Oryzias latipes: one gene and its partner. The protein of the gene in region 1 interacts with the protein of each later gene in a biochemical or structural test. Links are inferred from orthologs where the notes say so. Each region holds a gene or a part of one and is shown on either strand. Other genes may lie near its edges.

Region 1 (4,190 bases):
CATGGGTATTTATACCACTTAGATACAAGTTTGTTAGCTTGAATCATAGGAGCTGATGTTTTTACAGAAGATCACTTTGTCCAAAGCAGGGGCATCAAACTGATTTTCAGCGAGGGCCACATCAGCGTGCCGGCTGTCCTGGGGCCAGCTATAACTCATACATGTAACTAAATGTAATGAAAAATAAATGTACATACTCTTTAATGTTAAATAACTCATTAGTTATTTATTATAACTTTTTAAAGTGACAATTACAGCGGCATAGAAAACATGTGTTTGCATGGTACTCTAGCATAAATCCTTTTACATTTGATTCTGACAGGTTAGGTTATATTGGCAGTGTTTAAGTCCTAATGGATAGTTGCCCAATCAGATATTTTCAGATTCCCCCAAGATATGAATAAATACAAACCAATTTGTATTTTTATTCTAAAAAACTAAAAACTTTTATGCTCTCGCGGCCCACAAAAAATGACATGGTAGGCCACATTTGCCCCCTGGGCCTTAAGTTTGACACATGTGGTCTAGAGTGAAGTAAAGAAATGTCTTTTGGGCTCATGACACCAAAAATACTTCCGAGTTCTTCCTTTGCTTAAAGTGAAAACTGCTAATAAGCAAAGTTTCCCGGACATTCTTGTTAAAAAATGTCCAATCGGCAGCACATCGGAGGCAGAAACAACACAGAGATCGTTTAAGCTTTAAAAGTAAAAATGTGTGAGGAAATCCAGGAAGAATCACTCACAGCTTTGATGACTAAACTTGCGTTTTCATCTTTCGCTATTCTTTGGTCACATTTGGATTTATGTGACACCAAAATCAGTTGAAATGTGTTTTATAGTTTACAGTCCAGAATGCAGCTGCTTCTTTTTCACAGGAACCAGAAAACATGAAGACATCAGAGATTTTACATTTCACCACCATCTGAAAGAATTTACAGGACTGACCAACAAGCAGTTCTCTGTTTTTCAAAGTAAAAGTTCTGTGCCAGCCACTGATTCTTTTACCACCCTTCAATCAGTGAAACACATTTATCAGTAAAACTCCTTTATTCATTTCAAATTTTTGTTTTTAACTAGTAACAATGTTTAAGTACATTATTTATTGTGTTTTTCTATCTTTGAAACTTATTTGGGCGAACTTGTCTGGTTCTTCGGTTCATCAAATGTTTAATAATGATTGGAACTGTGTGACATCAGGATCTAAAGCATAACAGATCTTTCTGCTCTAAAAGGTTCGCGTTTTCGTGGTGAAGGATGTTCTCCGTCGTTTCATGAGTGAGCACAGGGTGTTTTTTAATGGAACCATTAAGGGGGCTTTTAATCTGAAAGCAGAGAAAAGCTTCTTGAAACATTAAAGCGATGCAGAGTGCTGCTGCGCATGCGCGAGGATCTACCGCTGTGACGAAGTCAGCCTGAGTGTCCACTGTGGCCCTTCCCGTTGGCGCCGTGCGCTCTAGACTTTTCTATTCGCAGTCTAACTTCCTGCGTGAGCTTGAAGGATCGGGACGCGGCTGTTGGACCAAAACAAGGCTGGAGGTGAATGTTCGCGTTCTAATTTACAATTTTAAGAACTTTTCTGTGTGTGTTCCTTCGTTTGGAAGTGATTCTAATCGACGACTTCGTTTTGTCAAAATGTCAGTGTCACTAAAAACTCTTAGTTTGATGGATGCAAATAAGCTAAGCCGCTGGCTCATAGCTAGCTAACCCAGCCACCTTCAGCTAACGCTAGCATTAGCATGTAGGTTTTGACCGAGAAACCTCGTTACTTTTTAAAAACCCACGGAAACGTCAGGTTTTCTGAAGTTTGGAGTAAAACTGTCTGCATGCAATGTTGGGGAACTGTAACGGATATCCTGGTCGGTACGTTAACGTCAGATTCTGCTGTTTGAAGAGCTTTTCTGTGAAGCTCAGAGATAAGCGAACAGAAAACGAGCTTCCTCAGTTTGACTGTCTTCTCCAGAATGGAGACCGTGGAAGCTGCAGACGGCCGCGAAAACGCTTCTTCTTCTGCCAGAAAGAGCGGACAAACGTCGTTGCTGGACAGCGGAGAAGACTTCGAGGTTGTGGATGAAGAGGACTTTGATGAGGAGCCTCCTCCTTTAGAAGATGCGGGAGGTGGGATGGAGAAAAGTTCAGATGAGACGGCGAAGAGGTCTCCACATGAAGAACCAGAGGCTCCGGCTCAGCTGGATGAGTGGTTGGATGTGTTGGGTGAGTCTGGCACTTGTTTGGCCTCTTCCCGCTGATGTTTCTTGGAAGAGAGAACAGTTCTTCATTTGTCTTTTGAATCTGACAGGTTCTGGAAGTAGTTGTGAGTTCCAAACAAGCATTTGGTGGTAGTTCTTGACAAGCCAACAGTTCTCTCTCTGCAGGAAATGGCCAGCTGAAGAAAAAAGTCACGGCGCCCGGGAAGGGACGAGCCAGTCGGCCTCAGAAGGGTCAGAACGTACGGATCCACCTTAAAGCTAGCCTGATCGATGGGACTCTGGTGGAGGAGCAACCTAACTTCTCCTTCACTTTGGGAGATTGTGATGTTATCCAGGTAAACCCTTAGTGGTGATATATGTCAGGGTTAGCCCCAACGCTCAAAATTACGTCTGCAGGTCTTGTTTTGTGGATTTGTCTCCGGTCAAACGTCAGTCAACACTTTTCTTCCAGGCTCTGGATCTGACGGTCCAGCTTATGGAAATGGGAGAAAAGGCTCTGATCCAGTCAGATCCTAAATATGCATATGGAGACAGAGGAAGGTGGGAGATAAGCTACTCTACATCAAACGCTGCAAATTGGTGATATAGAGAATTTTAACCATCCTTTAGAAAGATGGTAGCAGAGCCCAGAGTCTGAGGAGCCTCCAAATGAAATACTTTTTATTTTACTCACAGGTGGTTTAGTAAGTGGGAGGGGCTTTTTGACACACGTGGTCAAAAAAGTCTTGACATGTCTCACATTTACATAAACTTGGGTCAATAAGACCTTAAAAAGCAAACATTTGTCTTTAATTCAAGAGAATCTGTGTCTTTTCCTGACATGGGGGTAAAGGAAAGGAATCACTGGGAAATAAACTGTATGGATCCCTGGAGATTCACAGAAACAGACTGACTATGCCATCCTTTTTTTTTTGTTGGGGGGGGGGGGCGCTGCTGTTTTTGCTTCAGTCACTAAACCTGCCTGTTTTTTTTTTTCTCGTGTCAGTCTTGAACCTCGTGTTCCTCCAAACGCTCAGCTGTCCTTGGAAGTGGAACTCCTGGAGGCCACTGATGCCCCCGATGTGGAGCTGCTGCCCCCCGCAGAAAAGATTGCCCTCGCCAGTCGTAAACGAGAGAGGGGCAACGTCCATTACCAGCGTGGAGACTATGCGTTTGCAGTCAACTCCTACAGCATCGCCCTGCAGATAGCAGAGTCCAGTTCCAAAGGTGAGACCTTCATGACGCCGTCCCGCTTTCCCGGCAATGAAAGCTCCTCCCCCTGATCATCTTGCGGTGACTGATCAGTAACTGCAACTTTAAACCAAACAATGACGTGAAAATCAAAGCCCTGCAGATGTGAATGAGTCTTCAGTGGATCTTTTTAGCTTTTTTGCTCTGATCTTAGATTGAGATTTATTTCAAACATGTGAAGCAATACAAAATAATAATAATAATACATATAAAAAGAAGGAAGTTTGATATTGTCGTTGTGTTTTGTGGGACAGTGGACATCCGGCCGGAGGAGGAGGACGAGCTGCTGGATGTGAGAGTGAAGTGTCTGAACAACATGGCCGCCTCTCAGCTGAAGCTGGACCATTACGATGCTGCTCTGAAGTCTTGCGTTTCAGCTCTTGAGCATCAGCCAGACAACATAAAGGCACTTTTTCGCATGGGCAAGGTTGGCCTCAGTCCCGGAGCTTCTTGCTGCTGCTGAATGTCTGCTAAATGGTTGTTCTTTCCTCTAGGTTCTCTCTTTGAAAGGTGAATACACAGAAGCTATTCAGACCCTGAGGAAAGCACTGAAGCTGGATCCCAGCAACAAGGTCATTGAACTGTTTTCTCTTGGCAGATTGTCATTTTTACATTTGGCCAGTAGGTGGTGCCACAACCTAGACTATGGGTTGCAGCAGGCCACGTGGTCTGCTGAGTCAACATATGTGGAGATCTGTTTTCATGTTGCTGCTGAAAATAGGTTCACCCTAAGGCTGGGCTAATGCCAAGCCAG
Region 2 (4,164 bases), on another chromosome or scaffold:
TCATCCCTGTTGACATTCCTGCTTTGTCTGCATTTCATCCCAGTGACCTCCATAATAAAACAGATTTTTCCTGAATCTTAAAATAACGGTATTTATCACAGAGCTCCCGAAACCAAGTCTAATAAGTGAAGATTGTTTTAAGTGAAGTATTTTATTTTCAATTCTAAATCCCTAAAAACAAAGTTAAACTCTGTCCCTCACACAACTCCAACAGAATTATGATTAATGTGTCTATGACCCTTTTTATTATATGTTATAACATTAGTACTTACTTTCATTCCTACGGTGAAAACTACAATGTCTTTAAATTTATGCTCAAGTCAAAGTCGCCTTTTTTTCACTTGTGAATTTCACGTAATTAAAATAATAATGTTTTTGTGTTTTTTTTTACTGCTCTTTTAATCACAATAAAACAACATTTTGTAATTCATTTTGAATTGTCTTGAAACGTACTTGACAAATCAAGCTACCTCATAATAACAATGCGTATTTTTATTTTAAAGGTAAGAACTTCAACGTTTTTAGTAACATTACTGGTATTATTATATAGGTTTAGGGGAATCACCTGGATGAATGAGAGTCTTCATAGAGTTACTGGTATTATGGATAGAACCCATTCAGACCGTTTTTGACAAAAATCTGACTTTTGAATAATATTGAGAATTAAAATACAAATGAAACATTGTTGCACTTTGTCTTTTTTAACCAAATTTCTAGCTTTATTTTGTTATATACTATCATTTTTGCGTTTTAGTGTTTTAATTTTACCAAAACTTATTAGAAAGGTTTTACTTTTTTATTCATTCTTTCTTGTTGTTTACATGCTGGCCCTGGATTTTTTTGAAGTAGTAATAATAACTTTTCTGTGTAAAGTAATTAACTAATGATACTCCTGACGCTAGTTTAGGGGGAATTGGCATGGGGGGGGTCAACAGTAAAAAAAAGTCTCACGTTTGAAACAATCACTGTCCTTAATTAAACTTTCGAATATTGACTTTTATTCTCTTCTATTTTCTTCTTACTTTTATTTTTATTATTATTTTCATTTTTTAAATAAATATCTCAAAAATGTTGCGTTCAAGGAATTCCAACGAGCCACGATATCTACGCAAAGATGCATTTGCGGTTCATTAAAAAGTCACAGAGTTTGGGATTTCTCTGTTTAGACCCAGAACCGCACCAGTTCTGACCACGGTTCGCATAGAACCTCGTCTAAGTGGCTCACGAACGGAACCGAAAGCGCCCGTCCTCTGCTTAAAGAGTTCAAACTTCTGCAAAAGTTTGCCGTTTCTCCGACGGCTCCTGACACGCTCTCCGAGGGGGAGGGGCGTGTGCTTTGACGTCATCGAGGGCTTGACCACAGAAAAGGCACAGAGGCAGCGCACGTAGCCGCGCCATGCAGTACACAGAGTTCCAGACGACACCGGCCGAAATGCCTCCCGACGGCTCCTGAACGCTCCGTTTGGGGCGCGTGCTGCTCTTAAATGACTGAAGAAACGCGTAAAAATGGAGGAAAATGGCGGGCGTTTGACTTTTTCTCTCCTTTTTTGCTCGTCGTAGCGGGGCAGGGGCTCGTCTCCAAAGTTGTCGGTTGACAGGACTGTGGAATAAAAATAAAATAAAGATCCTTCAAACATGGACAAGCAGCAGCAGAGCGAGCTGGACCGGGACCGGCAGTACTGTGAACTTTGCGGGAAAATGGAGAACCTCCTGAAGTGCGGGAGGTGCCGGAGCTCCTTCTACTGTAGCAAGGAGCACCAGAAACAGCACTGGAAGAAGCACAAGCTCATTTGTAAGGAGGTCGAGAAACCCCTGCCCCTCAAAGTGAAGTCTGAGCCGGGTCCGCCGCCCGGGGGGGACACACGGGCGCAGAAACCCCCGGAAAAGAGCCCCCCCGAGCCGGCGGACCCGGCGCAGGCGGCACCTGAAGTTTCCGCGGGAGAGGACGGCGGCAGCCCCGCCACGCCGAACGGCCAGGTGAGCTCGAGCCTGCAGAAGCTCGCGCTGGAGGTGATCGTGCCGTGCATGAACGCGCACGGCATCTGCGTGGTGAACGGCTTCCTCGGGGAGGAGACCGGCCTGAGCGTCCTGGGGGACGTCAAGGCCCTGTACGACACCGGCAAGTTCACGGACGGACAGCTGGTCAGCCAGAAGAGCGACTCCACGCGAGACATCCGCGGGGACAAGATCGCCTGGATCGAGGGCCGAGAGCCCGGCTGCGAGAAGATCCGGTTCCTCATGGGCCGCATGGACGATCTGATCAGACACTGCAACGGCAACCTGGGAAACTACACTATCAATGGAAGGACAAAAGTAAGTATCTCACCTGGTGAAGGTGCGGAGACACCTGACCACGCACGTGACCTGGCTCCACAGGCTCCAAAAATGAAGATTTCCTTAAGGGACTCCATCCCCAACATGGAGATGCGAGTGTTTTTGTTTTAATCCAGCTGGATTGAGCAGGGAAAAGGGGCCAAAATTGAATATTTGGCACGTGACATATTTGCTAAGTACTTGTCTGAATTTTAAATTACTTTTTATATGGTCTGAACAGAGTTTTGCATTTTTATTTGTGACCCAAAGCATATACAAAACGTAATTATAATGACTTTATTTTGTTAGATTTCTTTGAATTGGAGTGATTTGTTCTGTGTCGTGTAAAGTAGAACTTGTCTTTTATCTAGAGGTTTTATTCCACATAGAAAACAACCCGGACCTGTCAGAAAAAGACCAAATAAGAATTTGTCCCTGTTGTTGCAGTTGTTGTTTTTAGGTGTGTGTTGCGTAGAAAACAGTAGCCTGAAGCCACGCGGGGCTGTGAATCATTTACTGGAAAGGGCTGTTGCTTCCTGACCTGGCGTGACCCGGCAGCATCAAGGAGGCAGGCGGCTGTGATGACTTCAGGCCGGTGCTGCAGACGCATCATTAGTGAGGCGGATTGTTTCCCTCGGGAAGGCGAGATGCTGTCAGTCTGCTGTCCTGGGAGGACAGAAGTTACCTGTCGCACGTGCGGCAGAGGCGTATAAGTTATGTCGTGTCTGCCCCGTGGGTGTCTTTTGGTTTTCATGTTACAGAAGTTTAGCTCAACCTATTTTCTACGTCACAAATAGGATCTTATTTTTTTAAACGGCATGAATAAAGAAATGCCTAGAAATGCAGTTTTAATCTTATTACTCTAGTTAGCAGAAAAATGCTACAAAAAGGGACCAAAAAAAAAAGACCAAAGTATTTGTCAGACTAAAAGCCAGATTTGTCATAGCAAAGCAGTCGGAGAAGTCAAACTTTAATCCATCCATGCTCAGGATGAAACACTCGGTGAGGCTCTGACTACAGTACCCATAATGCTTCAGCAATTGACCAAGCAGTGCGCCTTCTCGATTTACCAGTCCTACTAAAACATTTTGACTGACTTGAGGGCCACGTGTCACCAAAAGTCTGTTCTTATGGTCCACTAATACAGGTATGGTCACTCAAGTAGCTCTGTTAAATAATTGTCTCTTTGTTTTATTCTTGCCAAAAAAAAACAATAACTGGTGTAATCATAAATGCCAAGACTTGTGACCCGAATGGTATTTGAAAGACCCACTCCAGTAAAAAAAAATGTGTTTTTAACATGTTTTTGTGGCATTTTTCTGATGATCGAAGACGCTTGTGGGCGAAGGCAGGGGACACCCTGGACAGGTCGCCAGTCTGTCGCAGAGTACTATATATAAAGTATATATAAAGCTAATTAAGATAATGAAAAAAAAAAAGTTCCACCCCATTCTGACGCATTCACCTGCAGACCAATAGGTCCACGTCTTTGTTTTCCTAGTCTGAGCTGGAATCTGGATCTTAACTGTACAACTGGATAGCTCTGATATTGCTCACGTTTTTAGTTGCACAGAGAGTGTAAACAAAGGGCTGATGGGACATGAGGGCAGGCTTACTCCCTGACCTCGTGGAGGTCCCGCCCACAGCTCAGAGGTGAATTTCTAATGAACTCCTGCTGCTCTGCAGAAACCTTTATTTCTTTTGTTTTTTGCTAAAATCGGCACAATCACGATTAAAAGACTATGGTGAACACTTTCCAAATAGATCAAAGGATGATCAGAGTGGGACTTTAAGTGTTGAATTCTACAGACCTCTGCATTAAGGAAAGGTTTGGCATCTTAGCAGACTTGC

What was found.
Region 2: the proteins of fkbp8 (region 1) and egln1 form a complex in vitro, tested with the Homo sapiens proteins (2 studies listed by BioGRID, with this or other methods). The link is inferred for Oryzias latipes from reciprocal best matches to the Homo sapiens genes FKBP8 and EGLN1.

Annotation. Positions count from the first base shown.
Region 1 is NC_019862.2:8,042,253-8,046,442, reverse strand, and holds the start of fkbp8 (peptidyl-prolyl cis-trans isomerase FKBP8), read left to right. Parts: upstream 1-1,390; 5' UTR 1,391-1,827; coding exon 1,828-1,859; intron 1,860-1,959; coding exon 1,960-2,210; intron 2,211-2,371; coding exon 2,372-2,541; intron 2,542-2,657; coding exon 2,658-2,746; intron 2,747-3,191; coding exon 3,192-3,412; intron 3,413-3,690; coding exon 3,691-3,863; intron 3,864-3,930; coding exon 3,931-4,008; intron 4,009-4,190. UniProt on the Homo sapiens protein: Constitutively inactive PPiase, which becomes active when bound to calmodulin and calcium. Seems to act as a chaperone for BCL2, targets it to the mitochondria and modulates its phosphorylation state.
Region 2 is NC_019873.2:28,399,783-28,403,946, reverse strand, and holds the start of egln1 (egl nine homolog 1), read left to right. Parts: upstream 1-1,364; 5' UTR 1,365-1,635; coding exon 1,636-2,313; intron 2,314-4,164. UniProt on the Homo sapiens protein: Cellular oxygen sensor that catalyzes, under normoxic conditions, the post-translational formation of 4-hydroxyproline in hypoxia-inducible factor (HIF) alpha proteins.